Linked DNA regions of Oryctolagus cuniculus. The protein of the gene in region 4 interacts with the protein of the main gene of each other region in a pairwise test. Links are inferred from orthologs where the notes say so. Each region holds a gene or a part of one and is shown on either strand. Other genes may lie near its edges. The genes, in order: TMEM174, SPP1, TMUB2, SGTA, FERD3L, CSF1 and PBXIP1.

What was found.
Region 1: the proteins of SGTA (region 4) and TMEM174 interact in binary tests that used the Homo sapiens proteins (3 or more experiments, as listed by UniProt). The two-hybrid records come from large-scale screens. The link is inferred for Oryctolagus cuniculus from reciprocal best matches to the Homo sapiens genes SGTA and TMEM174.
Region 2: the proteins of SGTA (region 4) and SPP1 interact in binary tests that used the Homo sapiens proteins (3 or more experiments, as listed by UniProt). The link is inferred for Oryctolagus cuniculus from reciprocal best matches to the Homo sapiens genes SGTA and SPP1.
Region 3: the proteins of SGTA (region 4) and TMUB2 interact in binary tests that used the Homo sapiens proteins (3 or more experiments, as listed by UniProt). The two-hybrid records come from large-scale screens. The link is inferred for Oryctolagus cuniculus from reciprocal best matches to the Homo sapiens genes SGTA and TMUB2.
Region 5: the proteins of SGTA (region 4) and FERD3L interact in binary tests that used the Homo sapiens proteins (3 or more experiments, as listed by UniProt). The two-hybrid records come from large-scale screens. The link is inferred for Oryctolagus cuniculus from reciprocal best matches to the Homo sapiens genes SGTA and FERD3L.
Region 6: the proteins of SGTA (region 4) and CSF1 interact in binary tests that used the Homo sapiens proteins (3 or more experiments, as listed by UniProt). The two-hybrid records come from large-scale screens. The link is inferred for Oryctolagus cuniculus from reciprocal best matches to the Homo sapiens genes SGTA and CSF1.
Region 7: the proteins of SGTA (region 4) and PBXIP1 interact in binary tests that used the Homo sapiens proteins (3 or more experiments, as listed by UniProt). The two-hybrid records come from large-scale screens. The link is inferred for Oryctolagus cuniculus from reciprocal best matches to the Homo sapiens genes SGTA and PBXIP1.

What each region holds. Positions count from the first base shown.
Region 1 is NC_091445.1:37,817,312-37,820,982, reverse strand, and holds TMEM174 (transmembrane protein 174), read left to right. Parts: upstream 1-1,333; 5' UTR 1,334-1,432; coding exon 1,433-2,058; intron 2,059-2,234; coding exon 2,235-2,340; 3' UTR 2,341-3,171; downstream 3,172-3,671. UniProt on the Homo sapiens protein: Regulator of plasma phosphate homeostasis. Decreases serum inorganic phosphate (Pi) uptake by regulating the sodium-phosphate cotransporter SLC34A1 trafficking by PTH and FGF23 in the kidney.
Region 2 is NC_091439.1:77,729,253-77,733,292, forward strand, and holds the start of SPP1 (osteopontin), read right to left. Parts: upstream 2,801-4,040; 5' UTR 2,656-2,800; intron 1,623-2,655; 5' UTR 1,609-1,622; coding exon 1,555-1,608; intron 1,445-1,554; coding exon 1,406-1,444; intron 1-1,405. UniProt on the Homo sapiens protein: Major non-collagenous bone protein that binds tightly to hydroxyapatite. Appears to form an integral part of the mineralized matrix. Probably important to cell-matrix interaction.
Region 3 is NC_091448.1:19,069,291-19,073,269, reverse strand, and holds the start of TMUB2 (transmembrane and ubiquitin-like domain-containing protein 2), read left to right. Parts: upstream 1-1,179; 5' UTR 1,180-1,348; exon of another isoform or gene 1,349-1,376; intron 1,377-1,466; exon of another isoform or gene 1,467-1,929; intron 1,930-3,254; 5' UTR 3,255-3,279; coding exon 3,280-3,821; intron 3,822-3,979.
Region 4 is NC_091447.1:59,203,368-59,206,867, forward strand, and holds part of SGTA (small glutamine-rich tetratricopeptide repeat-containing protein alpha), read right to left. Parts: intron 1,384-3,500; 5' UTR 1,351-1,383; coding exon 1,251-1,350; intron 679-1,250; coding exon 572-678; intron 1-571. UniProt on the Homo sapiens protein: Co-chaperone that binds misfolded and hydrophobic patches-containing client proteins in the cytosol. Mediates their targeting to the endoplasmic reticulum but also regulates their sorting to the proteasome when targeting fails.
Region 5 is NC_091447.1:11,278,299-11,282,063, forward strand, and holds FERD3L (fer3-like protein), read right to left. Parts: upstream 2,386-3,765; 5' UTR 1,859-2,385; coding exon 1,325-1,858; 3' UTR 501-1,324; downstream 1-500. UniProt on the Homo sapiens protein: Transcription factor that binds to the E-box and functions as inhibitor of transcription. DNA binding requires dimerization with an E protein. Inhibits transcription activation by ASCL1/MASH1 by sequestering E proteins.
Region 6 is NC_091438.1:60,416,248-60,419,747, reverse strand, and holds part of CSF1 (macrophage colony-stimulating factor 1), read left to right. Parts: intron 1-875; coding exon 876-1,858; intron 1,859-2,377; coding exon 2,378-2,430; intron 2,431-2,733; coding exon 2,734-2,779; 3' UTR 2,780-2,795; intron 2,796-3,500. UniProt on the Homo sapiens protein: Cytokine that plays an essential role in the regulation of survival, proliferation and differentiation of hematopoietic precursor cells, especially mononuclear phagocytes, such as macrophages and monocytes.
Region 7 is NC_091438.1:43,546,239-43,550,527, reverse strand, and holds the start of PBXIP1 (pre-B-cell leukemia transcription factor-interacting protein 1), read right to left. Parts: upstream 2,801-4,289; 5' UTR 2,343-2,800; coding exon 2,240-2,342; intron 1,821-2,239; coding exon 1,771-1,820; intron 1,186-1,770; coding exon 1,081-1,185; intron 1-1,080. UniProt on the Homo sapiens protein: Regulator of pre-B-cell leukemia transcription factors (BPXs) function. Inhibits the binding of PBX1-HOX complex to DNA and blocks the transcriptional activity of E2A-PBX1.

The DNA.
Region 1 (3,671 bases), on a different chromosome or scaffold from region 4:
CATCCTCCACTGCACTCCCTGGCCACAGCAGAGAGCTGGCCTGGAAGAGGGACAACCGGGACAGAATCCGGCGCCCCAACCGGGACTAGAACCTGGTGTGCGGGCGCTGCTAGGCGGAGGATTAGCCTAGTGAGCCGCGGCGCCGGCCTCCAGGTGATATTTATCATCAAGGGACACTTAAGAAGCCCTGCCTTGGGGCAAGAGTGCAGCTTTCTCAACTCTGCTGAAAGAAGCTGAGAGATGTCTGTGTGGACAGACAAGGAAAGGGAGCGGGCTACAGTCACCACCAGGGAGAGGAGGAAACACAGGCTCTTTGGAACTTTTGGCGTTCAACATTGTGCATTGTCATGGATCAAGCTACTTCTCTAAATCAGCTTGGGTTTGGTTGCAAAATGCAGCAGGCTCAAAGTCACAGCTGTTGGATTTGCTGCCTAAGTGGCCACCCTGACGGGAGCGTCTGCAGCACCTGTCCCTGCCACGTCACGTCCCTCCTGCTGCCGACTCAGTCTCTGCCAGGGATGTGCAGCATGGACAGGTTTCCAATGGCATCCTTCCTTTCCCAGGGCTGAAATGACTCCCCAAGTTCAGAAAAAAAAAGGCAGGTCAAGAAGGAGCAGGACCCCAGAACTGTGTGAGCATAGTTGCTAACGTTGAAGTATTGCTGCGGTTTGAGTGTGTTCCCCTAAAGGTCAAGTCCTGAACACTGTATCCCCCGATTCGTATGTTGGAGGTCATTAGGGTCAGATGAGGTCAAGAGGCAGGGCCCTGATGACCTTAGCGGCTGTCCAAGAAGAGGAAGAGACCTGAGCTGGCCCACTCAGCCTGTCTCCCCATGGCATGATCTCTGCCGCGGGGTACTGGAGTTCTCAGCCTCCAGATCGGTGAATTTATCTGCCCTAGAAATCATACAGTTAGCGGTCTTCTGTCCAGCACTGGAAACAGACGAAGACAAGTGTCATTGTCACCATCATCCTAGCTGCCTCAGGAACCCACACGCGGTCCGAGCCCACACGGCTGTCCGTCCCGACTCCTCCTGGGCTGACCAGCAGGACAAACAGAACGTGGCCGAGTTAGCTCAGGCACTCCCACAGGCCTGGTTCCGGTAGTACGGAGCCAGCGGGAGCAGTGTTTACAAGGTTGTTGGCAGGGCACCTGACCATGCATTTTTTAAAATGAGTGAGCGAATGAAGTGAATCGGAGACGTGGCTTGTCCCTGACCTGCCCATCACAGCCCTCTGCTTGTGGGCAATTTATGAGGAAACTTCAGGCTCCACTTCCCAGACCTTTATCCTTCCAAACGAAGTCCAGCCCTGGGCATGTTATACTCTGTTAACCACCACAGCCCAAAGTTCTTCCAGCCTCAGTCTGAACCTGGGACTCGCGGGCTCTCACGGCCCCGTCCCCCTAAGGAGCGGCCCTTGAGCGCAGAGTCATGGAGCCGGGTGGCGGGCGCCTGGAGGACTTCCCTCTCAACGTGTTTGCCGTCACCCCTTACACCCCCAGTACTGCCGACATCCAGGTGTCCGACGACGACAAGGCGGGGGCCACCTTGCTCTTCTCGGGCATCTTCCTGGGACTGGTGGGCATCACGTTCACCATCATGGGTTGGATCAAATACCAAGGCGTCTCGCATTTTGAATGGACCCAGCTCCTGGGGCCCATCCTGCTGTCAGTCGGGGTCACGTTCATCCTGATCGCTGTGTGCAAGTTCAAGATGCTCTCCTGCCAGCTGTGCAAAGAAAACGAGGAAAGGGCCCTGGACTCGGAGCAGACTCCAGGAGGACAATCGTTCGTCTTCACCGGCATCAACCAACCCATCACCTTCCACGGGGCCACCGTGGTGCAGTACATCCCTCCTCCTTACGCACCTCAGGAGCCCCTGGGGATGACCGCCCCGTACCTGCAGCCCGGAGCGAGCCCCTGTGGTCTCCTACCCACTGCGGGGGTAGTGGCTGCGGCGCCGAGTCCTCCCCAGTACTATAGCATCTACCCACAAGGCAATGCCGCGTTTGTGGGTGATGAAGACTGGCCGTGTGTCGTGGATGGTAGCAGTGACAGGTACAGCGTGTGGGCTGGGGATGTTCCCCTTTGCAGCTGGTGGTGACCTCTGGCTGCGTTGCTCTCGGATTGAGAGGGCTTGTGGTTGACTCTGCAGCCTGATGCCCAGGAGGGTGGCTTTGTGTTGGGCATAGGTTCGGGCTGTGATGCATCTATGCTTCCTGTTCCTGTTTCAGGTCCAGCTGTGACGCTCCGCGGCCAGAGGAGTCCCAGCTGCCCGAGGGGGACTGTGCCCGCTTCTCTCCCCCGCCCTACGAGGAGATATACTCCCTCCCACGCTAGAGACGGCTGTGCATGGGGACCGGGGTCGCACGTGGGTCCTTGCTACCTGGCAGCTGCAATGTTCTATGCAGCCTTCAGAAGTCAGATGGCAGAGCGGCCTGACAGAGGTCACAGGGCAGTAAAAATTAGGCTGGGCTGGGGAAATCCCCTTGGGTAAAAGAATCGCCCATGGAAGGCTCAGGAGCAGCTGTTCCACCTGCTTGTCCATCACCCAGTCTCTTCCCTATTTGAAGACCTCTGGGTATCCATGTAAGCTTCGACGGCCAAGGGAGAAATCGCAACCTCTGAGATCTGGGGAGTTTCCACAGCTGGGAAGGGGGAGGGGTGACAGGAGGACAGCTCAGGTTTCTGGTGCCCTTCACTGGTCCCAAGGCGGACTTGGTGGCCCAAATGACACTGCTGCCACCTGGTCTCTCCTGGAGACCCTGGGCATCTTAAAGGTTGCAAAATAAGTAAATACAACGGAATAAAATAAAATACCGTCTTCTGTAAGACAAGTATTGGACGGCTGGCTAAATCATATGAAAGGAATAATAGTAGGATATGATGGGAATAAATCCTGAAGGTGTCACTGCTCCCAGTGACTCCTGGCTGCTGCTGTTCTCTTTGGTGGAGTTGAACCTTGAAGCGTGATGTGCATGAGGGGCTCTTAGCCCACTCTGGTCAGGGGCGGGGCCGGGCATGAGCTCACCACGCCCAGGGCAGCACAGAACACATGCACCTGTCTAGGCACTCGGAGATCTCAACCGCTGGAAAATCATGAATTGTGGAAGCAACCTTTGTGGCTAAGGTCAAGCTTACTTTCTTAATAAAAAAAAATACTTGGATGTTCTTCAGCTCCTTGACTGTGAATTATGTACAGAGCAAGTAGGGGCAGGCGTTTGACCCAGCGGGCCCAGATGCCCGTGGGGAGGCTTGCATCCCATAGCAGAGTGCCCGGGTCACCGTGCCAGCTCTGTCTTGATTCCAGCTTCCCTGCCAGTGGGCACCCTGGGAGGCAGCAGGTGATGGCTCAAGTGCTTGGGTCCCTGCCACCCTCATGGGAGACCCAGACTGAGTTCTCAGGCCTCGGCTCTGGGGAGTGAACCAGCTCATAGGAGATCTCTATGTCTGTCACTCTCTTTGTCTCAGAAATAAATTTTAAAAAAGAGACAGTTTAAAACTATAGATTTTAAAAGATAATGTTTTCCTAGACATGGAAGTAAGGGACTCCAGGTAGGGGTGAATCATCCCAAAAGAAGACCCAGGATTTAGCAATTCTTCAAAGTTTTGGTACCATGTTTGTGGGCACGATGGTTTTTACTTTTATCGTATCTGTTTTCCAAGGGTTG
Region 2 (4,040 bases), on a different chromosome or scaffold from region 4:
CGCCGCAGGGCGGAGTATTAGCCTAGTGAGCTGCAGTGCCGGCCAGGGAATGGAACCCAATTCAGCTCTCTCAAGAGTGGCAGGGATCCAATCCCTTGAGCCATCATTGCCACCTACCAGGGTCTGTATAAGCCGTTAAGTTGGAATCAGAAGCTGGGATGGGGCATTAAACTCAGGCACTCTGAGATGGAACATGGAGTCTTTACCCAGCATCTTAACCACCAGGCCAATGCGGTGCCATAGTCACATTCTGAGTGCTCAGTAGCCATGTGTGTCCAGTGGCTGTCTTATCAGACAGTACAAAATATATCAACATTGTTGCACAAGAATTCTATTTTTCTAAGCCGCCAGAGACTTATTTGTCTAGAAAATAACTATAATATGCTAGGGGAGAGAGAGCAAGAGAGAGAATTTCTCCTAGCAATGGTACATGACTTTAGTGACATAATGTCATGGCCTATGTGCCTTTCATCAATGTACCCTTGCCAGATTTTATTCTGTTTTAAAAGGCACCAGTTCTTTCCTTGAATAGTATGGCTTGTACCTTCTTTGGAGATGTTAGCTTTTCTACTTTGTTATTGTGATTCTATCTGTGTTCGCAAATCAACAGACACATGTACACACATGCACAGCCACACACACACACACACACACACACACACAGAGCACCTCTCTTCATGTCTTCATTAAGCAGTCTAATGGCCGTGACCCTAGGCAACTCTGCATTGGCCTCTATTCTATTCATCTGGAATTGAACTCTGTGTGCCTTTTTGTCCAAGCTTCTCAGAACAAGGCCCATTTGTTGTGTGGCTGGCACAGCTTCATCTATTGTGGAGGGGCAGGTACCTCTAGGGTGTTGGTCAAATCATTATAATAGTTTGGTTTGGTCTTATGCTTGGTTTGAAAAATGTGATCTAAAGTCAGCTGACGAGCACAATAGATACAAACAGCACAAGTAGACCTTCTTTGCACAATGGGCGTCCTACAAATTTCTTAGGCGATATTGTGGTCAGACAACAGTCCTGAGCCATAGCCAAGGTGAATTTCAAACATAGCTTTCCCCTAAGTAAAGCAAAGGATGGAATTTTCTGCTTCTAGAAAAGCAGGTTGACTCATGGAAAGAAAGTCACACCACTTCATGGAATTCACTTCACATGTGATTATGACCCAGATAATTATTTTATCATGTTAAAACAAGCCCAGCTTGCTTTTAAGAACACGCATTTATCAAAAACTATACTGTGCTTAGGTTGGGTCTAGATTCATAACAGAGGTCAATTAGCAGGGTTGTAAATGAATGGGCTTGACCATGAAGGTAAGTCAAATTGCAACAAAGATGTTTGGCTACTCCTGGCAATGAATACATGACCAATCTCACTAGATGACAGACTTCAAAGGTGCTTACCTGCTTTTCCTCGGAGCTGCCCGAATCAGCGTGTTTAACCTTTCAAACAGAAAAGAGGAAGCAACGTTACTGCGGGATTGTGTTCTAGCACAAGAAGGCACCCAGTTCACTTATTCCTGTGAATTTCCTGTAAGAGTAGCAGCACTCACCGGGAGGGCGTAGGCCATGCCCAAGAGACAAAAGCAAATCACAGCGATTCTCATGGTGGTGATTGTTCCTGCAAAATATTTTGTAAGAACAGCTTCATAGGTTAAAATGTAAAAATCTGCCACATTACAAAATAATCAACAATCACAAGTAAAACATTCTGTTGAATGTATTCTACTTGTTGGACTAACTCGTCTGTTTGTAACATGGTCTTTGGAATTCATGTTTGTCACTTCCATTTTCCACTTCACTGTTAGACAAGTGAGAGGGGAATTTTACAAGTCTCCATTTTATTCAGTTTTTAATTTAGAGTTCCAGAGATTATATCACCCCTACTCGATATCTAAACCTAAAAGCATTATCAACAGAAATTTAATTAAAATAATAAGCACGCATGGGAGTACCTAATATTCAGAGAAGAAAAACACAAAGGGCAAAAAAAAAATGAAAGAAATTTGCTGTCCCCATTTCTCCAGCATGCATTTAAAACACATTCTTACACCCAAATTATTAAGAAGCTGCTGCTTAGTTGAATTATAGCTATCTTTCAAGTTAGTTATTTAGGTAAGGTAGTCTAGAAGTTTGAAATGAAGAAGAAAATAGTGAAAGCATACAGGTTTTAAAAAATTTCTTGTTGACATTTTTAACAGCTAAACACAGAAGTAAAATATGCAGAAAGGATTTTTTCCTTGAAAATGAGATAGACCAAATCATTTAAAAATAGCATTATCAGTGGTTTACAATAGCACAAAAGATTATTCTTTATTTAATGCCTCCACAGTCATCCAGCCATTTAAAAGACACACACTCATTCCAAGGGGGCATAGAATTTTACTTTTTTCTGACTGGAAGCAGTTGCTTCAGGTCTTTGGAGAATTCAATAGGTATGTTTCTAAGTTTTGCATTTGGCTTTCAAAATATCTGAGCACTTTGGTTCCAGACTTGTAACATATCTGATCTGCTTATTCAACAACAACACAAAAACTGCAGTCTAACTGTTACAGCATCACAGCTTAAACTATTTTCCTTACAACTTGAACTTGCCCATGAAATTCAACTGAAAGTATGGACAGCAACACAGTCGGAGCAGGCTGCAGGCTTACCTTGGTCGGCGTGTGGCTGAGAAGGCTGCAACTGGCCCGAGATGAGTCCAGTCCCAGAGGATGCTGCGCTCTCTGCCTCCTCCTGCTGCTGACAGCCGGAGCCTCTCGGGATTTAAATGCTGCTCCAACATCCTCCAGCAACACAGGGAGGCGGAGAGATGTGTCATGAGGTTGTTTGCCACAGCCCAGCCCACCTGCTCCCACACTTCCCCTTCTGGTTTTGTGGTTAGAAACAAAAAACAAAAGAAACCAAAATTGACACACACACACACACACACACACACACGCACTTATGCACAATGTTAACTGGCTTTGCCATTTACTGGAATGGCATTCGGACTCCTGGAAGAGCACTTAGGGGTCTCCTAAAAGAAAGGGAAAGTAACTAGTTCTTACAGAGATTTTATTTATAATTTCTGAGTTAGGCGAAAAAATACGCATGTAAATCAGCCTGGAATGAAATGAAATAGAAAGGGCTTTTGTTTCCCCAAGTAATAGATGAAGGTGATATCCGCAACCACAGTTGCCGTTCTGTTTCCTGAAGAACTTGAAGGCCACTGTCGAGGCCCAGCGAGAGGAAGCGTCCCTCTGTCCCTTTCTACTCAAGCTCCGTTTTGTGACTTCAAGTCAGCAGCAGCTTGTCATTTAGATGAACGATCTTAGTGACACTGAGGTCCCTATTCATGCTCGTTCCGTTGGAAGACTTGCAGTGACCTTTCAATGACATGGATTTTTGTTGCACGGTCTGAATTGTTCAGAGGTGATGAATCTGGTAAATACGTATAAAAACCGCATCAACTAAGAGAGTGAGCGGCGATTTACGGTGGATGCTGCAGCAGTCAGGGCCGTGTCTGACCGAGAGCAGGATGACCGCCTGAGAGGGCTGCTTCAGGAGCCGCGCTGCGGCCTTGAACCCTGCTCCGTCTAGAGTTGCTGGCCTGACCTTGGACACATCACTAGGCTATCTATACCTGTATTCCTCATCTGTGAAATGCAGACCCTGTTAACCCAGCTCCTGGAACTTTTGAGAGGTTTACATGAGTCAGTATATGTACAAATAACAATGTTGGGTATGCATTAGAGGCAAACGCCCTAGTGTGTTTTTCAATTGAAAAATACAGATTTTTTATTTATCAGAGAGAGAGAGAGAGAGAGAGAGAGAGAGATCCCATTTGCTGCTTTACTCTACAAATGCCTGCAATGACCAAGACTGGGCTGAGGCTGAAGCCAGGAGCCAGGACAACAATCCAAGTTTCCCACGTGGGTGGCAGGAGCCCAGTTGCTGGAGCCCTCTCTGCTGCCTCTCGGGGTCTGCACTGATGGGAAGCTGGCATCAGGAGCCAGAGCTGGTGCTCCAGTGTCGGATGTGAGCTTGACAGCTAGAC
Region 3 (3,979 bases), on a different chromosome or scaffold from region 4:
ATCAGAAGTAGAACAACTGAGAAACCAACAGGTACCCATTCGGATGCTGGCATCGCAGGTGGCAGCTTTACCTGCTATGTCAACACTGTATCCCTTCTCCTTTTGTTTTAAATATTTATTTTATCATTTTTTGAAAGGCAGAGCTAGGGAGACATCAAAAGATACATTTCATCTGCTGGTTCACTCCTCAAACAGACACAATGGCCAGGGCTGGCCCAGGCTGAAGCCAGGAGCCTGGAGCTTCTTCCGGGTCTCCCACGTGGGTGCAGGGGCCCAGGCACGTGGGCCGTCCTCCACTGCTTTCCCAGGCCATAGCGGAGAGCTGGATGGGACGTGGAGCAGCGGATGTTGGTGTCCCACTTGGTGGTTTAGCCCGCTGCGCCACGACCGGCCCCGGATTCCTTTTATATAAAGTGCAAAATCAGGAAAACTAACCTATGACGGACTTCAGTGGCTAGACGAGGTCTGAAGGGAGCTGGTTCTGGGGTCATTTCCTTTGCTGCTTCTGCAGGCTCGTTCTGGCCGAGAGTTCAGCCGGTGCAAACCACCGAGCCCTGCACTTAGGATTGCCCCGGCTGCATTATTTATACTTTAATCAACAGCTCATTAAAAACACAAACCCTTAGGTAAGTGCTGGGGAGCTGAGCTTTTTCTCCCGTCTCTCTGGCTCCTTTTCTCGTGCCCCGAGGCTGCGATGAATCCCTGCCTCTCTGAAACGCTTTCCCGCCGTATTTACCCAGGCTCCACGCCACCTGGAGCTGCCATCTTCGCGCACTGCCTAACCTGGCCCCTCCATCTGCCCTACCAGCCCAGAGCCGAGGAGGTCCTCACTGATTCCGGGGACTTGGAGCTCAGTCCGCGGCCCAGGGCGGTAAAGAATCCCTTCAGCCTGGGAGCCAGGGAGCAAGGCCTGAAGAAACAGGCCGCAGAGTGGGCGGCCTCTTTCAGGCTCCGGCCGGGGGAGCCAGCCTGGGCAAAGTTCCACGGCCACGAAGCCACGCCCCGCCCCGAGCACCTCCCCCCGGCCCCGCCTCTCACCCCGGTCGGCCTGAGGCCCCGCCCACCAGGCGTGGCCTTGAGCCCGGAGGGCCGCGATCCCGCCAACAATGACTCCGCCCCTTCTTCCGCTGAGAATCCTGTCCCTTTTATTTAAAGAATACGTTTACGTCAGCTCGCCTTACGTAGACGTGCGTCATCAGTGCAAGGCGCGGAGGCGGGACTTCCTATCTGTGGTTCTAACAGCTTCCGGGAGAAGCCGGAAGAGACTGGACTGTGGACCGAGTCGAGGATTGCCAGCCCCTCCCCCGGTCCCTACGGAAAGACGAGGCCAGGGGCCGTCCTGGAGAAGGTAAAACTATTTAGTCTGGACTTTTCAGGTGAGGACCTCCTTCCCCATCCGAGCACAGTACCAGTCCAAGCCCCCTTTAATTTTCCCATGACTCCTCGCGCCCTCAAGCCCCACCCCCGGTCCAGCAGCCCCGCCCCGAAGTTTGAGGGGTGTGGATGGTTTGTGACCCCCTCACCTGATCCTGCCCCTCGGGGCCTAGGAGAGCTGGGCTTGGGCGCCGTGACCGGAACCCGGCAGCCCCCGCGCCAGCGTTGCGGGAGCAGGACCGCCCAGACGCGGAGCCTGCGGCTCGGACAGACGGGGAGGCGGACCCTCCTCACTCAGCGCGCCGACGGGCTGAGAGGGCGAAGGCCCGGGGGGCGGGCGGGCTGGGGTCCCGGTGTCCAACCAGCCGTTTCGGTCGCTTCGCCGCCACCCTTTTCTGTAAAGCGCGGCTCATGCCATTACCGCGCCTGCCGTGAGGGCTTGGTCGGGGCAGTGGTAACCTGATGGCTGCCACTTGAACGGCTGCAATGTGCCGGGCAGCGCGCTAGGTAGTTTGCTTGGGTGATTTCACGTCATCTTCCAAACGACCGGCCGAGGTAGGTGCTATTTTTAACCCCGTTTTACCGAGGCTCTGAGAAAGTTGTCCGCCGCCAGGAAGAGGCAGGCGGGCGGGCGTTGTGATGGGTTGCTCTGTGTTTGCTTTCTCCCCGGCCGCAGGGGCAGGGCCGGCGTGGCGGGTGAGGCCGAGGTTGGTAGGTTCCCCAGGCGCGCAGTCCTCCTTGTCTCCTGGATCGGGTAGAGAGCCGGACAGCTAGAGCCGTGTGAGGAAGTTGCGCAGGTGCGGTGAGGACAGCCCGATGCTGGTGACCGCCGGCCTGGACTTGCCCAGGGGCGGCTGTGAGCGCAGCAGGTTCTCGGAGGAAGCGCGCAGGGTCAACGCCGCGGCCCAGGGAGAGCTGAGAGGGCCTGGGAGAGCCGGCGTGGAATCCTTCCCGAGGCGGTTCACCTGGGGAGTGCGTGTGGTGCTTGTGAGCCCCTGGTGGCCCCTCCGGTGGCCTCTGGGGAGGTGTGACTGCTTCGATGAGAGGTTCATTTTCCTTAGGTCTTGACAGCCGGGCCTGGATCTGCGACCGTGAGGGAGAAGGGGCTCAGATCTGCAAGGCTGGCCGCACAGGGCCTCCGAAGAGGCCTTAAGATAAAACTTTTCGGATTTCTTGGTTTCTCTACAGCTGCCTTGGAGGTTGCTTAGGGGACATACTTGCTTGACCGAGTGTTGGAAAGTCTAAGAACTGCGCTCAAAGAAGCGAATGTTTCTCCCCATTCACTAAAAAGTAGCAGCCGTGCAGGCGGGTGCTGTGGAGCCTGGGTATGCGGCCGCCAGTCGGACATCGCCGTCCTGTGTCGGAGCACGGGTCTGTGTCCCGGCTGCTCCGCTTCTGCTGCAGCTCCCTGCTAAGGGACCTGGGAAGCAGCGGAGGATGGCCCAGGACTTGAGTTCCGTATGGGAAACCTGGATGGAGTTCAGGCTCCTGGCTTTGGCCTGGCCCAGCCCCTGGCAGCTGCGGCCACGTGGGAAGTGACCCTGCAGATGGAGGACCTCTCTGCACTCTGCCTTTGAAATAAATGTTTCAGAACAGCAAACAGTGGCAGCAACGACACGCAGAGGAGGTCTTGCCGGGGATCTGCTGGTGGGGAGGTTGGAATGTGGGAGGAAGGGTGTGCAACCTGAGAGTTTCACAATCGTGGCAAAGGGTAAGGCCTTGGCTTTCAGTTTGGGGTCCAGAGTTAGGAAGCTTTGTGCCTCCCTTCTCCACTGAACTCCATTTGCAGTCAGGGCTGGGTCAGTGAAAGCCCAGACAAGCTAGAAACCTGGTCACAGCTCCTCGGGCTCCACTGATGCCGCCCCTCTTTGTTCTTGCAGCCCGGACCCCGTCGGCAGCCGGACCATGGAGCTCTCTGATGTCACCCTCATTGAGGGTGTGGGCAATGAGGTGATGGTGGTGGCCGGTGTGGTGGTGCTGATTCTCGCTTTGGTCCTAGCCTGGCTCTCTACCTATGTAGCAGACAGTGGCAGCAGCCAGCTCCTGGGCACTATCGTGTCAGCAGGCGATACATCTGTCCTCCACCTGGGGCACGTGGACCACCTGGTAGCAGGCCAAGGAGCCCCAGAGCCCAGCGAACTCCCCCCTCCATCAGAGGGTAATGATGAGAAGGCTGAAGAGGCCGGCGAAGGTGGGGGACACGCCACAGGGGAGTCGGGGGCTGGAGGCGGTGCCGAGCCCAGCCTGGAGCATCTCTTGGACATCCAAGGCCTGCCCAAGAGACAAGCAGGCAGAGAGGGCAGCGGGCCTGAGGCCCCCCTGCGCTCCGAGGCTAGCACCTGCATCCCTGCCAGCCCCGGCCTCATCCATGTGCGGCTCAAATTCCTCAATGACACCGAGGAGCTGGCTGTGGCCAGGCCCGAGGACACTGTGGGTGCTCTGAAGAGGTGAGTGGGCTGGAAAGCGGGAGGCTCCCAGCCCTTGGTGGGGGACGGTGGGGAGCAGCAGGGAGGCGTGAGGCACAGCCCCTACCAAGGGTGGGGGGCATGCTTCCTTCAGTTCCCTGGCCGCCCTCCCACCCCTCACCTTTGTCTTTCCTTCCGTG
Region 4 (3,500 bases):
GCCCACGGCGCCCCCTGCTGCCCGGCAGAGGTCAGGGCGCACACCCTCCCCGCCCAGGGAGAGCCCACGGCGCCCCCTGCTGCCCGGCAGAGGTCAGGGCGCACACCCTCCCCGCCCAGGGAGAGCCCACGGCGCCCCCTGCTGCCCGGCAGAGGTCAGGGCGCACACCCTCCCCGCCCAGGGAGAGCCCACGGCGCCCCCTGCTGCCCGGCAGAGGTCAGGGCGCACACCCTCCCCGCCCAGGGAGAGCCACGGCGCCCCCTGCTGCCCGGCTGAGGTCAGGGCGCACACCCTCCCCGCCCAGGGAGAGCCCACGGCGCCCCCTGCTGCCCGGACCAGGTCAGGGCGCACACCCTCCCCGCCCAGGGAGAGCCACAGCGCCCCCTGCTGCCCGGCTGAGGTCAGGGCGCACACCCTCCCCGCCCAGGGAGAGCCCACGGCGCCCCCTGCTGCCCGGACCAGGTCAGGGCGCACACCCTCCCCCGCCCCTCTCCTGCCCAGGGAGAGCCCACCGCGCCCCCTGCCGCTGTTCTGAGGCTGGGGAATGGGGGCCGGGTGGCCCCGGGCTCACCTTGCCGGTGGCGGCCGCTTCAAAGATTTCCGGCAGGGTCTGGGGCAGCGCCAGGTCGCTGTCGTCCACCGTGACCCCGAAAGCCGTCTCCAGGCACTGGATGGCGACTGTGGGGACAGAGGCCTCGCTGACCGCATGCCTGGGCGGGGCCTGCTTTGCTGCCGCGGCTTTGGCTTTTTTTCACAAAGGACGGGTGGGGGTCCCCCAGCTCCCATCAACCCCAGGCGGGACACGGGCCCAGGGCACCGAGGGCGGTGGGCACAGCAAGGACACAGTGGTGACTTGGGGCTCCCGGTGTGGGGGCTCGGCCCTGCCGCACACGGCGGGGGGGGGGGGGTGCTGGATCCAGCTCAGGACGGGTCCGCGCCAGAACCCCCACCCGGCCCGCCCAGCGCACTCGGCAGTCAGGGGCATCCCGCGGGCACTGTCCGCCCCGGCCTCCTCCACGAGGGGCCTGGCGGGGGGCCACTTCCGTCCCACTGCTGTGCCCACACCGCGCTGCCCAGCGGGCAGACAGCCCCAGGGCCGGCCATGCAAACCCCACGGAGAGCGCCTCTGGTGCCGGCGGGAGCAGCCGGCCCCGGCTGGAGGGGCCGGGGGCGTGGGTGCCCCTGCAGGGGGCACGGGCGTCCGCGTGGGTGAGCGCCGGGGCGGGGCGGGGCGGGAGGGCGGCGGGCACCTTCCAAGCTCTCCTGGGCGTCGGACGAGAGCCCGCCGTGCCGCAGCTGCTCGTGCAGGAACTGGATGATGGCGTAGGCCAGGCGCTTCTTGGTGTCCATCTCGAGACGGGGACGCCGGACGGCTTCCAGCGTCTGCGGGTCCGAGCGCAGGGCGTGAGTCCGGGGCCCAGCTGCCGGGCAGCCGCTCAGAGCGCTGCGGCCAATCCCGCCCCCGCGGGGAGGGGCCAGTGCGGGGATCCGCCCACTTCCCAGCCGAGGCCAGGGGAGCCCCGGGCGTCCGGAGCGCGAGGCGGCGGGAGGGGCAGGGAGCGCCCGGGCCGGGGACCTGGTCCTACGCCCCGGCGGCCGCCCCAGCCCCCAGTTCCCGCGTCCCCCCCTCACCCAGCACCTGGGGGCGGTGCCCCACCCCCCCTCCTGGGGAGCCCGTGGGCTTCAGCCCCGTCTGCGGCCACCGGTGCCACACGCGCTTCTGCAGGGGAGAGGCGAGCGAGGGAGCAGCCCGCAGGGGGGGCGTCCAGGCCCACTCTGCCCCCCCCCGAGCCTCCATCGACCCCTGGACACCGTCCGGGAGCCGCTGGACGCTGTGCCAGCCCACACAGCGAGGTGCGGCCCGGGCCGAGCTCTCAGACAGGAGCCGACGCACTCCCCGAGTGACGGGTGCAGCGCAGAACGGGGCGTCCACGGGACACGGGGCCGGCCGGCAGCCGTGTCCCGCCTCTCCTGTCCTCCCGCCAGCTCCCCGCGGCTGGGCTGGCGGCCACCTTCCCAGAGGCCACTCCCTGGCCCTTGCCCACAGGGCTGGGTGACCTTTCTCGCTATGACCGTGCCCTGGGGGCCCAGGCTGAGGGGGGAGTGGGAGAGGCGCGGTGCTGGGCACACGGGTGGGGCCGAGTGAGTCCCGGCCTCTGCTGTCCGGCCACCGACAGATGAAAGTGACGCAGGAGGACACCCCGGCCGGCACCCAGGAGGGCCGGAGTCCCCGAGCCAGGACGCGGCCTCGGGAGGGGTGCCGGACGCTCACAGGCCCCTCCCCGAGTGCCGGGTGCCGTCAGGGGCTGCCTGGGCTGGGTCGCCAGGGCGGGCCCCGTAAGACCCGAAGCTTTGCACGCGGGACAGACAGGGAGCTGGGGGGACTGGTCCAGCGCTAAGGAGCGCCGAGGACGCCAGCCGCCACGGCAGCTGGGGCAGGCCGGGGACGCGGCCGCCCTCGGCCTAGGACCTGGGCAGCGGCTGCCCCATCCCCCGACCACTGAAGCCGCGGCGTGCAGGGGGCTGTGCCACAGCGGCTACGGGCGCCGTGCACCTGTGCAGGGTGGTGGCGCAGCCTGTGGCGGGGGACACAGCAGCAGGTCCCGCGTGGTCGCTGGGCTGGTCGGGAGTGGCTCTCGCTTCTCCCAGGGAACGCGCGCTCGCCCAGGCGGCCCGAGAGGTACGGCCGGACACAGGGCTGCGTGCTGTGGGCGTCCACGGGCGGAGGCGGCCGCAGGCGGGAAGGGGCGTGGCGACGGCAGGGGAGCGGAGGGCAGGAGGCCACGTCCCACTGTGTCCTGGGAAATCGAATTCCCTCCCCGCCACCCGGGGGTGGGAGCTTGGGGGAGGCTGGGGGCTTCCGCCCCATCTCGGCACAGTCGGGGGCCGGGCCCCTGAGCAGTTGGCCGGCGCCCCGCAGACAAACGAGGACCTCGATGGACGCTGTGGGGCCCACCTCAGCGCTCCGGACACAGGGGCCAGCACCATCCGGGGGTGTGCGCCTGCGCGGGGGGCTGCTTCCTGCCCCTCACCTGAGCCATGGGGGGGCCAGCACCATCGGGGGGTGTGCGCCTGCGCGGGGGGCTGCTCCCTGCCTCTCACCTGAGCCATGGGGGGGCCAGCACCATCCGGGGGGTGTGCGCCTGCGCGGGGGGCTGCTCCCTGCCCCTCACCTGAGCCATGAGGGGGTCCCGGGGGTCAGAAAACCAAGAGGCCGCCTCCCCCCTCGGGTGAGCCTCCGCGCCTCTGCGCTCGCCACCCCCTGCCGGAACACCGCCCACCCCCACCGCGCCCCAGGCCTCTCCTGCCCCCACCTTGGAGAGACGGGCCCTGGTCGCTGGCTGCCCCCTGCCCGCGCCCCGGGGGCCCCGGTCCCCCTCGCCGTCCCTGGCCTTGCGAGGCGTGGGCGGTCCGGCGGCCTGGCCTTTCTGGAATGGGGGCGGGGCCCCTGCCCTGCACGAGGCTGAGCGGCGCCCCCAGCTCGCCCCATGAGACCCCTG
Region 5 (3,765 bases), about 48 Mb from region 4:
TGTGCGCGGCAGAGCGGGTGCCCGGCCCCCGCACGTCGGAGCAAGCCCTGCGGATTTTTTTTTTTTCCGGATTCCCGCATTTGTGGTTAGGTGGGCTTCACCCACTCCTGTGGTTGCCACCACGGCTTTCTGAAAGACCCCATTTCAGGTGCTCGTGGAGCCGCACCAGGTCCAACCTGCACCCACCCGCTCGAACTTCCCGGCGGGCGCTGGGGTCCCGCAAGCCGTCAGAGTGCGTCTCCGCCTCGGACTTCCGCCTTCCGTGGAAATCCTCAGAGGCCGTGAGGGCCCACGCTACCGTCCCCACCTACGGCAAACGGCGGGCCGGTACGTGCTCAGGCCCCGCCGCGCAGGGAAACCGGGGCCAGGTGCTGCGTGGCCGCGGGCGGGCGAAGCCCGAAGTTCCCCGCAGGCCCGGGGGCACGCAGCGCGCCTCTAGCTGCCCTCGGCGGCCTGAGGCGTGGCAGGCCCGCAGCGAGCAAGTCCCACTCAGGCAAGGCCCTGGACAGTGGGCGCTCCCGCCTTGCTGGGCGCGGCGGTGCCAATGGGGCCATCTCAGTGGGCGCCCGCCCTGGGTTCCCGCTCTGGAAATCTGACACAGTGGTGTGGGGGGAGGGAGAGAGTGGGGGGGGGCAGGAGGAGATGGAAAGGGAGAGGGAGACCAGGAGGGAAGAAGAGAGAGACAGGAGAGAGAGCCAGCGAGCTAGTACTGGAGAGATGATGTCCCTTCCCGGACGTGGCATTCTGGTTACCAAGTCCCCTCGGACTCTCCCCATTTTTTCTGCATCTCCTCTTAGTCCCTGGTCTGGCCTGGGAGCCCTGGGCAGGAGGGCTGGAGCCGCTTGGCCTCTCCGGAAATCCCGCACGGGGTCGCGGGTCTCTGCTACAAGCCTTTCCTAGGAGCGCGCGGGTGGGGAGGGCACAACGTCCATTCTTGAGGCTTAAAACAAAGCCAAGACTCTCTCTGGTTTGCTACTTCTAATACCGTTAAAAAGACAACGCGGAGAGAGGGGATCCCGACAGCAGCGCCCAGTCCCCGCAGTCTGCGGACCGGATGAGCCAAGACCGCTCCCCGCTCTCGCCTCTGCCCGGCACACGGAGAGGGACCGCGCGGGCATCAGCTCCACAGCCGCTCTCTTGCCGAGAACACAGGGCGATTGACAAGGAGCTCACGTGGCCGAGAGGGCCACGCGTCCAGCCTCGCGGCCGCCCTGCTCCCCTTTCCAAAGCACCCCTCGGGGGCCGGCCCTGGCGCACCCCAGCCGCGCGCGCCCTGGCGGGGACCCGGCCGGCACCGCAGCCCCAGCCCCAGTCCCGGGCCGCCTCAGCCGGTTTGCTTGTCACAGCTCGCCAAGAGCTCGGTCATGAAGGAGATGTAGACGATGGCTAGGCGCAGGGTCTCGATGCGGGACAGCCTCTTCTCGTAGGCAAAGGTGGGCACCTTCCTGCGCAGCTGGTCGAAGGCCTCGTTGAGGTTGAACATGCGCTTCCTCTCGCGGATGTTGGCGGCCTGGCGCTGGGCGTAGGTGATCACCCGTTTCCTCCTGGGGCGGCCCAGCAGCGAGGCGCCTCTCCCGCGCCCCTCTTCTTCTTCTTCCTCTTCCTCCTCCTCCTCCTCTTCCTCTTCCTCCTCCTCCTCCTCGTCCCCTTCTTCTGCATCCCCCTCTTCAAACCGCGCCAGCCCTCTGGGTCTTCCCTGTCGGAGCGCAAGGCCTCGGTCCCCGAGGGGCGCCTCCGGCGGGAGGTCGCCGAGGACAGGACGTCTCGGGGAGACCAGGGACAGGTCCGCGACGAAGTCCAGCACGGCGGCGTCCACACAGCTCTCCCGCCATCGCTGGGACGCGGCCCTGCGGCTCATGGAGTTTGAGGCTGCGGAGGGGGCTTGCCTAACGGCCTTGGGTCGGGCCCGGCATCCTTGCCCAAGGCCCGGGGGGCCTGTTCCTCTTTGTAGGCAAGCTTGGGAACAGGATTAGTCGCGCTCACGGGGCCGGCTCTGGCCACGTCGCTGTCCTCGGAGCTGATGGAGGGAGACAGGCTGGAGGACACGTGGACGACCACAAGGGCGCAGGCCCCCCCCGGTGCTGGGCTCCTGTGCGCGGCGCCAATCGGGACAGTTCTTTCTCTACCTGCTGAGCCTTTTGTAACTGTCCTCGCCCCCCACAGCCGATAAATGCGCCCCAGACTCCTCACCTCGTGCGGGTCTTTAATTCCAGGCTGGGTTTTCAAAGCGAGGATGTTTTCCACCGCAGTGGCTTCTCCTAGACTTCAGGGCTGGAGACCCGAACCTTGCCACCGTCTACCAGGGGAGGGGAAGCAAATGGCATGCGCTTTTAATGATGTCCTGAAGAGGGGCCCAGGCCGCCGGGGGCTCCCGGGGAGCTGTTTGTCCCGTATCCCAGCGCCGCCGCGGCTGAAAGGCAAGCCCTTACATTAGCTTAAGTAAGCATGGCAGGGGGCAGGAGCGCATTCCCCGGGGTCGCTCCTGGAACCCGGGTCCTTTCCCCCTCCTGCCCGGTCACCGATGTTTGGACGCCCCCAGCCCGACAATGGAGATACTTGACTTTCCTTTCCCTTATCTCCTGCTCCCGTAAAGTGGAGGATTTTTATTCCCAGGGGAAAAGTGAGGTTGGGCACTAACGTGAGAAATGGAAGATCCCAGCGGTTGCTCCGTGAGGGATTTTGCTGTAGAACGGCCGGCGTGTAGGACAAAAGCAAGCCCTTTCCCCAAGGAGAATTTCTCCAGTCTCCTTTCACACATGATCCTTGATAAGCCAGTCTCTGCACTTTTAAGTTGCTGATTGAGTGTTTGCACAAAGGCAAATCCGGAGACTTCCATCTGCCTTCTTTTCCTCATTGGCTTGTATATTCCTACAAGAAGTTCCTCTACAGAACTTTAGAGCAGGAACCATACCTTGTTGAATTCTCCTGCGGGGTGATATTTTTGGTATTGTTAGATAATTTTTGAGATTAAAAAGTTTATGTCATGAAAAGGACATTTTACTGATTTTATATCAACTTAAAATATTTATGTATTTAATTGAGAGGGACAGAGGTGGGAGATAGATAGATAGATCAAGAGATATAGAGAGAGATAGAGCGATAGAGATAGAGAGAGCTAGAGCTAGAGAGAGAGAGAGAGAGAGAAAGAGAGAGAGATCCCATTCACTGCTTCACTCCCTGGGAACCAAGAAGTCAATCCATGTCTCCCACATGAGAGACAAGGATGACAAGGATCCAACTACTGGAACCATCACCTGCTGCTTCCCACAGGAGGTGGAACTCGGACTCAGGCACTTTGATGTGAGGATGAGGTGTCCCAATAGGGGCCCGATTCCTAATATTTTAACAAAGATGTGTTCCTTTTTCCTTCTTTGCCAATAGCTATGGTTTGGTACTCACGGCAGAGGATTTTTCAAATTCCTGGTGAGGTGAAGTGAGATGTTAGAAAGCAACTGTAAATGTGGCTTAGAAGAAAGCGTCCTAGGAGGTGAGTTTAGACACATCCTGGTTCAAGGGAGAAACACCAGGGACGTTGCTCCCCATGAGGAGGTGAGTTTTGGCCCTGAGGGTTCACTCAGTACATTGGACAGCTCCCAGAAACTGCTTATTTATAACAGGTAAGCCCCATTCCTGTCCTTCTCCCTTGTGTCTCTGGGTATATTCAAAGCAGTATGCTCTCACATAATTATTTTTTAACCCATTTCTGGCCGGGTTCTCCTTGATCTTCATAGATTTTTCTCTCCTCCTGCTCGTGTTTATATCCCA
Region 6 (3,500 bases), on a different chromosome or scaffold from region 4:
CCATATGTCTGCATGTGGGGGCACCAAGAAGGCTCATGCTGGCGGCTGTGGGATTAAAGAGTGGGAAAGGGACCCTCTCAGGAATCCTCTTAGCATGGAAGACTGGCTGGCCATGTGGGGGCTCCGAGGAGAGAGCAGACACCCACCTAGGAGTCAGGGCCTCTGCTCCAGGAGTGTGCTATGAATCGCCAGCATGCCCTGGTTCCAGAAGTCCCCAGGATGCCTTGGGTGTCCCTTCAATGGCCAAGACTGGATTTGAAGTCTGAACATCAGTCAAACCTTCTCAGTGCTGGCTCAGCTGCATACATGTGTGCCCTGCGTGTCCTCGTCTCTGCATCCTACATTCAACCTTGCTCCCCAAGGCAGGGGCTGAGGCCCTGCCATCTATCAACAGCCAAGTCCAGTCTCCCTGCTTCAATGCCAAGGCCACAAGCCTTGGCCAATTCCAGGCCCAGACCATCCCCGCCTGTGGTTGTACTGTGTGGCTTCAGGCTGTGCATGAATCAGTGTCTTTGGGGCTTGAGGATGTCTTAATCTCCTGTCCTGGCTGCTGCTCACCCTGGCTTGGCCTCTGGCCAGCAGGCACCCCAGGGCCAACTGTCTCTGTTCTTTCTCACCCCAACCCTGGGCTGTGTCTTTAAACCCTGCTCTCTGCTTTCCCCGGTGAGACCCTGCACATTGCACCTTCCCTGCCTGAGCCCCATGTCATGGGCACCTGCTGCAGTCCTGTCCTCTCCTCAGCCCCCAGGCTGAGGTAGGAGGTGAGGGAACCCCGATCCCATGTGGCCCTCTCCGCCCCCTCTGGGAAAGCTGAGCTGGAGGCTGGTGACTCTATCTCCTCCCCGTCTTTCTCCCTGTCTCTGTGGTTCTTTCAGATGTGGTGACCAAGCCTGATTGCAACTGCCTGTACCCCAAAGCCACCCCTAACAGTGACCTGGCCTCCCCTCGCCAGCCCCTTGACCCCTCTACAGCCCCCATGGCTGGCTTGGCCTGGGCCGACGCTGAGGGGACACAGGGCAACCCCCTCTTGCCCGGTGAGCAGGCCCCTGGCACAGTGGACCCAGGCAGCGCCAAGCAGCGACCACCCAGGAGCACCTGCCAGAGCCTTGAGTCGCCAGAGACCACCGGCGTGGAGGACAGCCCCCCAGGCCGCTCCTTGCAGCCTCGCCCTGCCGTCGGGGCCCCCACACCTGGGGTGGAGGCCATTCTGGACCCTGCCATGGACACTCTCTGGGCCCTGGAAGAGGCCTCTGGAAACACTGGCGAGGGCCCTGTCCCTGGGCCGGAAGGGGACAGCGTCCAGGCCGAGGGCGCCAGACCCAGCAACCTCCTGACAGCGTCTTCAGCACTTGCTGCGCCAGCAGAGGCTGCGACCGGCACCGCCCCACCCAGGGTGGGCTCAGTGAGGCCCCAGGGCCTGGTTTGGAGCCACAGCCCTGAGAAGACCCACAGGCCACCTGCCCTGCCTCCAAACCACCAGAAGCCAGGCTCTCTCGGGGCCTTGCTGCGACGCCTCCAGGGCCCCAGCCAGTTCACCGTGCCCGCCACTCAGCCAAGGCTTCCCAGGAGCCACCCATGGGCTGGCTTAGCACTCCGCAGGGAGCTGGAGGGCAGAAGGAGCACCAGGGACCGGAGGAGCCTGAGAGAGCTGGATGGTGCAGAGCGTGCAAGCGAGGGGGCTGCCCAGGCCCTAGCTCCTTTTAATTCCCTTCCTTTGACTGACACAGGCCATGAGAGGCAGCACACAGGACCCTCTGACCCCCTGCTGCCCGGCTTTGCCTTCCGCCTGCTGGTGCCCAGCATCATCCTGGTCTTGTTGGCCGTTGGGGGTCTCCTGTTCTACAGGCGGAGGCGGCGGGTAAGAGCCCCAGGAGGGAGGGGGCCTCTGGCAGGGCAGCTTCGGTTGGGCCCGGGTTCTGAGGGCTGAGATGCAGGGCTCACTGGGTGCAGAGGATGGCAGGTTGCAGTGGAAGTTGCTTTCAGAATCAGGAAGGCCTAGGCCGTAAGGTCAGCGGGCAGGGGCTGGGGTAGAAGGGAGTGGGAGAGAAGGCTGTTGGGCCCGCAGTGGGGTGACAGGCAGATTGCAGTTGGGGGAGAGGGGTAAAGGAGAAGAGTGAGGGAGCTTGGCAGAGCTGGAGTGAGAGGACACAGCCTGCATGGGAGAAGCAAGCGGGAACATCAGCAGAGAGGCCCTAGGAACTGCCTCACCCTCCAGCTGATCCCAGCTGACTGCTGGGGAGCGGGGGCCAGGGAGGGGGGTGGAGGCGGTGGCGGGATGCTGGCAGCTCTCTCCTAAACACACGGGGCAGCACTGCCTGGGCTGGAGCGCCAGTCCCTCCCCCTCCCAGCAACTCAGCCTGCTGTCTCCTGTCCCCAGAGCCATCAAGAGAGTCCAGCCACGGATTCTCCCATGGCGCCGCCAGAGGGCAGGTGAGAACTGGGGGCTGGCCTGGGATCCTCCGCCCCTCTGGAGGAAGGCGGGGTGGGGGGTGTCTCCCACTTGCTCTGAGGACGTGGGGCTGCAGGCAGCAGGGTGGAGAGGAGGAAAGGCATCCTCTCTTTTCTAGACATCGGGGCTTCTCCCCAGCTCTTCCTGGAGTTAGGCAGCTGTGGATCCTCTAAGCCTGAGAGGGCTAGAGTATGTGTGTATGTTTGGCGGGGAGCGGGCTTAGGGGTCCCCTCACTCCCCTGCTCCTACTGAAGTCTTACGCCGTCCCTGTGCTCTGCCTGCAGCCTCCTGACCCAGAATGAGGACAGACAGGTGGACTTGCCAGTGTAGAGGGAGTTTTGTAAAGGTAAGATTCTGATCTTCATCTCTTTCCACCCCTTAAAATGAGCTCCACCCTCTTCCAGTCGCTCTCACCTGTTGGTGACACCACCAACTTCCCGGAGGCCCAGATGCTTGCCTCTCCCCTTGCCCACCCATTCCTGGTTCCAGCCAAGCCTCTCCTTTCTGAGTTCTCCAATCTCCCCCCAAGACCCACGCAGGCTGGGTCTTGCTACCTCTGCACTGGGAGTCTGGTCTGACAGCCACCTTCATTCCCAGAGCAACCAAAATCCTTTTCCTCTAGTCGCAGCTTTTATGAAGGCCTTCAGCCTCCTGGGAATTCTTAGCAGCCCTGCATGGCCAGCCACTTCCAACTGGACTTCCTGGCCTGTCCAGTAGCTGCCCTCGGAGTGCACTTCTTGGCAGATGGTTCCCTCAGTCACCCCACCCCCCACCTCAGCCATTCTCAGCTCCCTGCTCTTAGAATCATGGTGCCACAGAACTTGAGTGTTAGATGGACTCTCAGAGGTCGTTTGGTCCAGCAACCCACTCCAAAGGGGCCAGCCCTCTCTGCATTCCTGACCAGGAGTCAGCCAGCTTCCTGCCACGTATTCCCACTCCCAAGCAAGCCCCCTGCTAACCACAGCCCATGCACCTTTAGACGATGCTGGGAAAAAGGCTTTCCTCCCACAGGGCAGAACAGGTTTCTCCAGCCCGCACTCATCCCATGCTC
Region 7 (4,289 bases), on a different chromosome or scaffold from region 4:
TGCTTCTGCTCCACGGGGATGGGAAACCAGCGGAAACAAGGACCAAGAGCCAGACACGAAACAATCACCCTGGAAGAGCAGGGAGGGACGTGTGCACTTCCCCAGACCACCGGGCAGTCACCCATCGTTAGCAGCCACCAGCTGCCCCATGCCCTCGCGGATGTAGACAGACTGGATCTCCTTGGTCTTGAGGCAGAGATCGCAGGCCCAGACGGCAGAGGCCTCAGTGGTCAGCAGCCCGTAGGCGCTCTCAGTCATGCCCGTGCACTCGCGGTGGAACCACTTCTGGCAGGACGCCTCACACAGAATGGCATCTTGGTCGTCGTTCACCTCGCTCCGACAGGCACCACACGGGTATACCAGGCCTGGGGCAGGCTGGGGCCCTGAGCCCCCACCTGCCTTGCCAGGGGGTGCCAGGCTGTTAGCATCTGGAGTACCCCCACCCCGGCCGCTGCTGTTTGGTGGGAAGCTGGGCTGATTCCCGTTGACAGCAGCAGCAGGGGAGCCCGAGTGGGGCTCCTGGGGAAAAGCAGTGGGAGCAGGTGGATTCAAGGGCTTCCCCCCGTCCTCACCACCAGATCCAGGAAAACCAGGGTCCGGGCCAGGGAAGGGACTTGTGTTGGGGGGCAGGCTAGGGAGTCCCTGACCTGGTCTCTGGAGCGGAGAAGGGCCAAAAGGCGCCCCTGGCTGGGCAAAGCGTTGCGGGAGGGAAGGAGGACCCAGCTCCCCTCTGGGAGGCTGTCCCATGGTGGGCGAGATCATGGGGCCAAATCCCCCCACGGGGCCTGGCATCATCTGCCCACCAGGAGGGCTGAAGTTTTGACCCAGAGGCTGGCTGAAGGGTTGGCTGGGAAAGTTCATGTTGCCTGGTGGTGGGTAACCAGGGCCCTGGGGGGGCATGTTGAAAGCAGGGCCCATAGGGTTGGGAGGGAAAGGGGGAGGCTGTCGCCGAAGTGGCTGGGGACCCCCTCCACCTCCAGTGCCGTAGCCTGGGGGTACCTGGCCCGCCATGGCCCCCTGTACGCGGAAGCCTCCAAAGGGCACAGGACTGCCAAGGAACGGAGGGGCTGTGGCCCCCACCTTAGGGGCCCCGAAGTCATCCTCAAAAGGGTTGGATGCAACCAGGTGATCCACCATGGGAGTTGGGGGTGGCGCAAACTCCGTCAGATGTGAGTATGCAGGGCCCTAGGGAGGAACAGATGAGGGAAAGAGGGTCACAGGGGCCTGACACGGAGCCAAACACACGTGGGCAGAACACCACAGACGCCGCAGCGTTCTGGAGGCAGACACCGGCCAGCCAGTGCCAAGACCAAGACGGACCTCAGAATGCAACATAGAAACAGAGGGAGCAGGGCAGAACAGCGCAGTCAGGAACGCCTTTGAAAAACAGGGAGGACCACGCTGAAGTCCCAGCTCTGACCCCAAAGCTCTCCGTGATACAAGGACAGTGCCCAGCTCCCCCAAACCATTCAGGCCCCTCGGCACAACGTCTGGCACTTAGAAAAGGTTCGCTAGGTGGTTACCTGCTACGCTGTCTTGAAGGAGCCAGGACAGGAAAAATGGGGGAAAAAGAAGGCTGCAACCCTGCCCGACCAGCTCTTGGGTAAGGGGCTCTCGTGGGGAAGGATTATCCCCTACGTTTGTTAGGAAGTTGAGGGCGAGGACCAGAAACAGAACCCACCGCCTTCCTTCTCCCTGCACCTGACGCAATACAGAGCGGACAGCGCCAGGGGCTCCTGGCAATCACGCCCACCACCAGCCAACATTCACCTGAGTATTGGACTTCCTGCGTTTCTTTTCTGGGCTCTTCATTTGCAGACCTGGAAGAGCAGCAAAAGGCAGACGAGTTTCTCCAACCTCCTCCTCCCAGCCCTGCTCCAAGAACTCGGTCAACTTCAACACACATTTATTTCGCGAATACTAACAAAGGAGTGTCATATGAAAAACGTGTCCTGAGTGGGGCCCTACTGTCAGCTATGCCTTTCTCGAAAGCAGACACCCTATCTGTTGACACTATCAGACTCCACCTGACTGGATTCCACGTGGCTCCACACCCTTGAAAGTCCTCAATCTGTCACACCTGCCCCCAACCCCGGAGCGCTACACCGACCCATCCTTTTCACCTGAGCGTCCCTTCAAGCCCTCCCCGCTCTCAGCCTTTGGGACCAACCCCACCCTCCCCTCCAAGGTTCCCAAGTCCCAGGTCTCTCCAGCCCCCGCCCCGTCTCAGCACTCTCACCGGCCTTGCCCTGCTTCCTCCCGGTGCTGGGCGGCGCAGGGGGCGGTGCGGGGCCGCCACCTCCCTCCAGCTTGTCCGGTGGGGGCGGCGCCGAGGCGGCCATGGAGTGGGGGCCGGGGATCAGCGGCGGCGGGGGATGGAGGCGCCCTCAGGCTGCACCATCCCCCGGAAGGGGAGTCGGGGCAGCACAGGCCCCCGAGCTGCTGCAGCCCCAAGGTGCGGCGAGGGGGAGGCGCCGAGCTGGAGCACGAACTGCGAGCCCGCTCCAGACTCGCCGCCCGCCCGCGGCAGCAGCAGCGACCGGAACCGGAACTCCGCTCGGCCGCCACCACCGAGCGCGGCGGGGAGGGGAAGCAAGGACTGGGAGACTCGGCGCCTCAAAACGCAGGAAGAGGGGAGAGAGGACCACGGGGCGGCCCTAGTGGAGACAGCCGTCGCCCTCTAGGGAGCGGCCGGCCCCAGCTCACCGCGGGACGCCGCCCGCCAGCCCCTGCGACCGGACCGTACCATTGCGGGCCGAGGGGCGCGTGCCCAGGAGGCACCGGCAGCCGCCGGCTGGCCTCGGACCCTGCCCCGCCCCGCCCCGCCTGCACCAGGCCCCTCCGCAGCCGCATCCCCCGGGGACAATCGGTCTCCACGCCCACCGGGCACTAAGTCGGCCGGCGCCCAGGGCCCAGCGGGCGGCGCCGGGCCCCAAGTGAGGCCAGGTGGGGCCAGCGGCGACCTGGAGCCTCCCCTCCTGCCGCGGAGGCTCCGCGCGAACAATGGGCTTGCAAGAGTGGCTAAGAAGGCGAAGTAGAAGAAATACGGATTTTAATGAAGATTATTTCCCTTTGGTATAAGTGAGACCCGTGAAAACATCCAAACACACGAAAGGAGGTGGTGGCTAGGATTAAAATTGTCAGCTTTCCCTTCCCCACAGGCCTAAAGAGCAGGACTGGCCTCTTCTGTGGTTGTGGCTGCAGTGGGCCTAGCACAGGGCCCCGCGTGTAGAAGGTACTGGGGGACCTGTGGGCTTTAAGTTCCCCCTTCGTGAAATCGACACAGCCAGCCAAACGCCTGCCTCCCAGCCTGCGGTAAGAGGTCCAAGTTCTAGTCCTGGCTCAAAATCCGTTTCTGCCTCTGGTCTCTTTTGTAAAAATAATAATAATGCTGCCAGTCCGAGTTCCTTTGCAGGCCCGGTGAGGAAAATGCCAATAGTGGTGAGAGGGCTTGGAAAAGTCAAAGAGGTGATGTGTGGATGTAGTTGATCATCATCATTTTGTGTTCAAGAACAAGCCATGGAGAACAAAATTAGGAAAGTAAACCTACAGCCATAAAATATGTGCATACAAAGTAAAAATGAGCGCGGTTCCAAATCGACAGATGGTATTTGGGATTGTCTAATGCTTTCGAGTCTCAGTGCCCTTGTTCCCGCCTCCACAGAACCCTCCTGGGAGAGTGAACTGTACAGGAGGCTCCAGTTCACACCCTGGGAAGGGAGAGGCAGAGCCGGGATACAGGAGGAAGAGCTACACTTTGGCTGTAGAGTATAACATGCATGCAACATGGGAGGGGCGGGGCGTATGAAATGTATATACAGACCCCTTGGGGAGAGGGGTCCCGGCCAGGAGGCACTGAGCAAGGGAGGGGGTCCATCTCCCCCCTGGCCGGGAGGGGGGCTCTGGGGCAATCTCTAAGGGTTGCACCTCCCCAGGGAGAGGGGACAGCTGCCACTACTGCTTCTGTTCTCCCAACCCAAACTGGAGAGGCTGCTGAGCAAGGAGGACAGGGTCCTGGGAGCCAAGACGGCGTCAGCACCCCTGTCCTTAACTCAGGGGCCCGAAAACTTCTTTGCATTAAATATCGTCAGACCTAGGAGATGGTCAAAGGCACAAAGTTAAACGCTGGGGGGAAGGCTGAGAGTGGTCTGTGACTCCCTGAAGCCCAGGGGTAGACCCGAGGTGTGATTTGTTCCCCTTTCCCCAGAAGGGTGACTGCTCCACTGGGCCTATCACCAGGGGACGTTTCCATCTCGAGTGCCCACCTTCCTGGGGAAGGGGGCATCAGG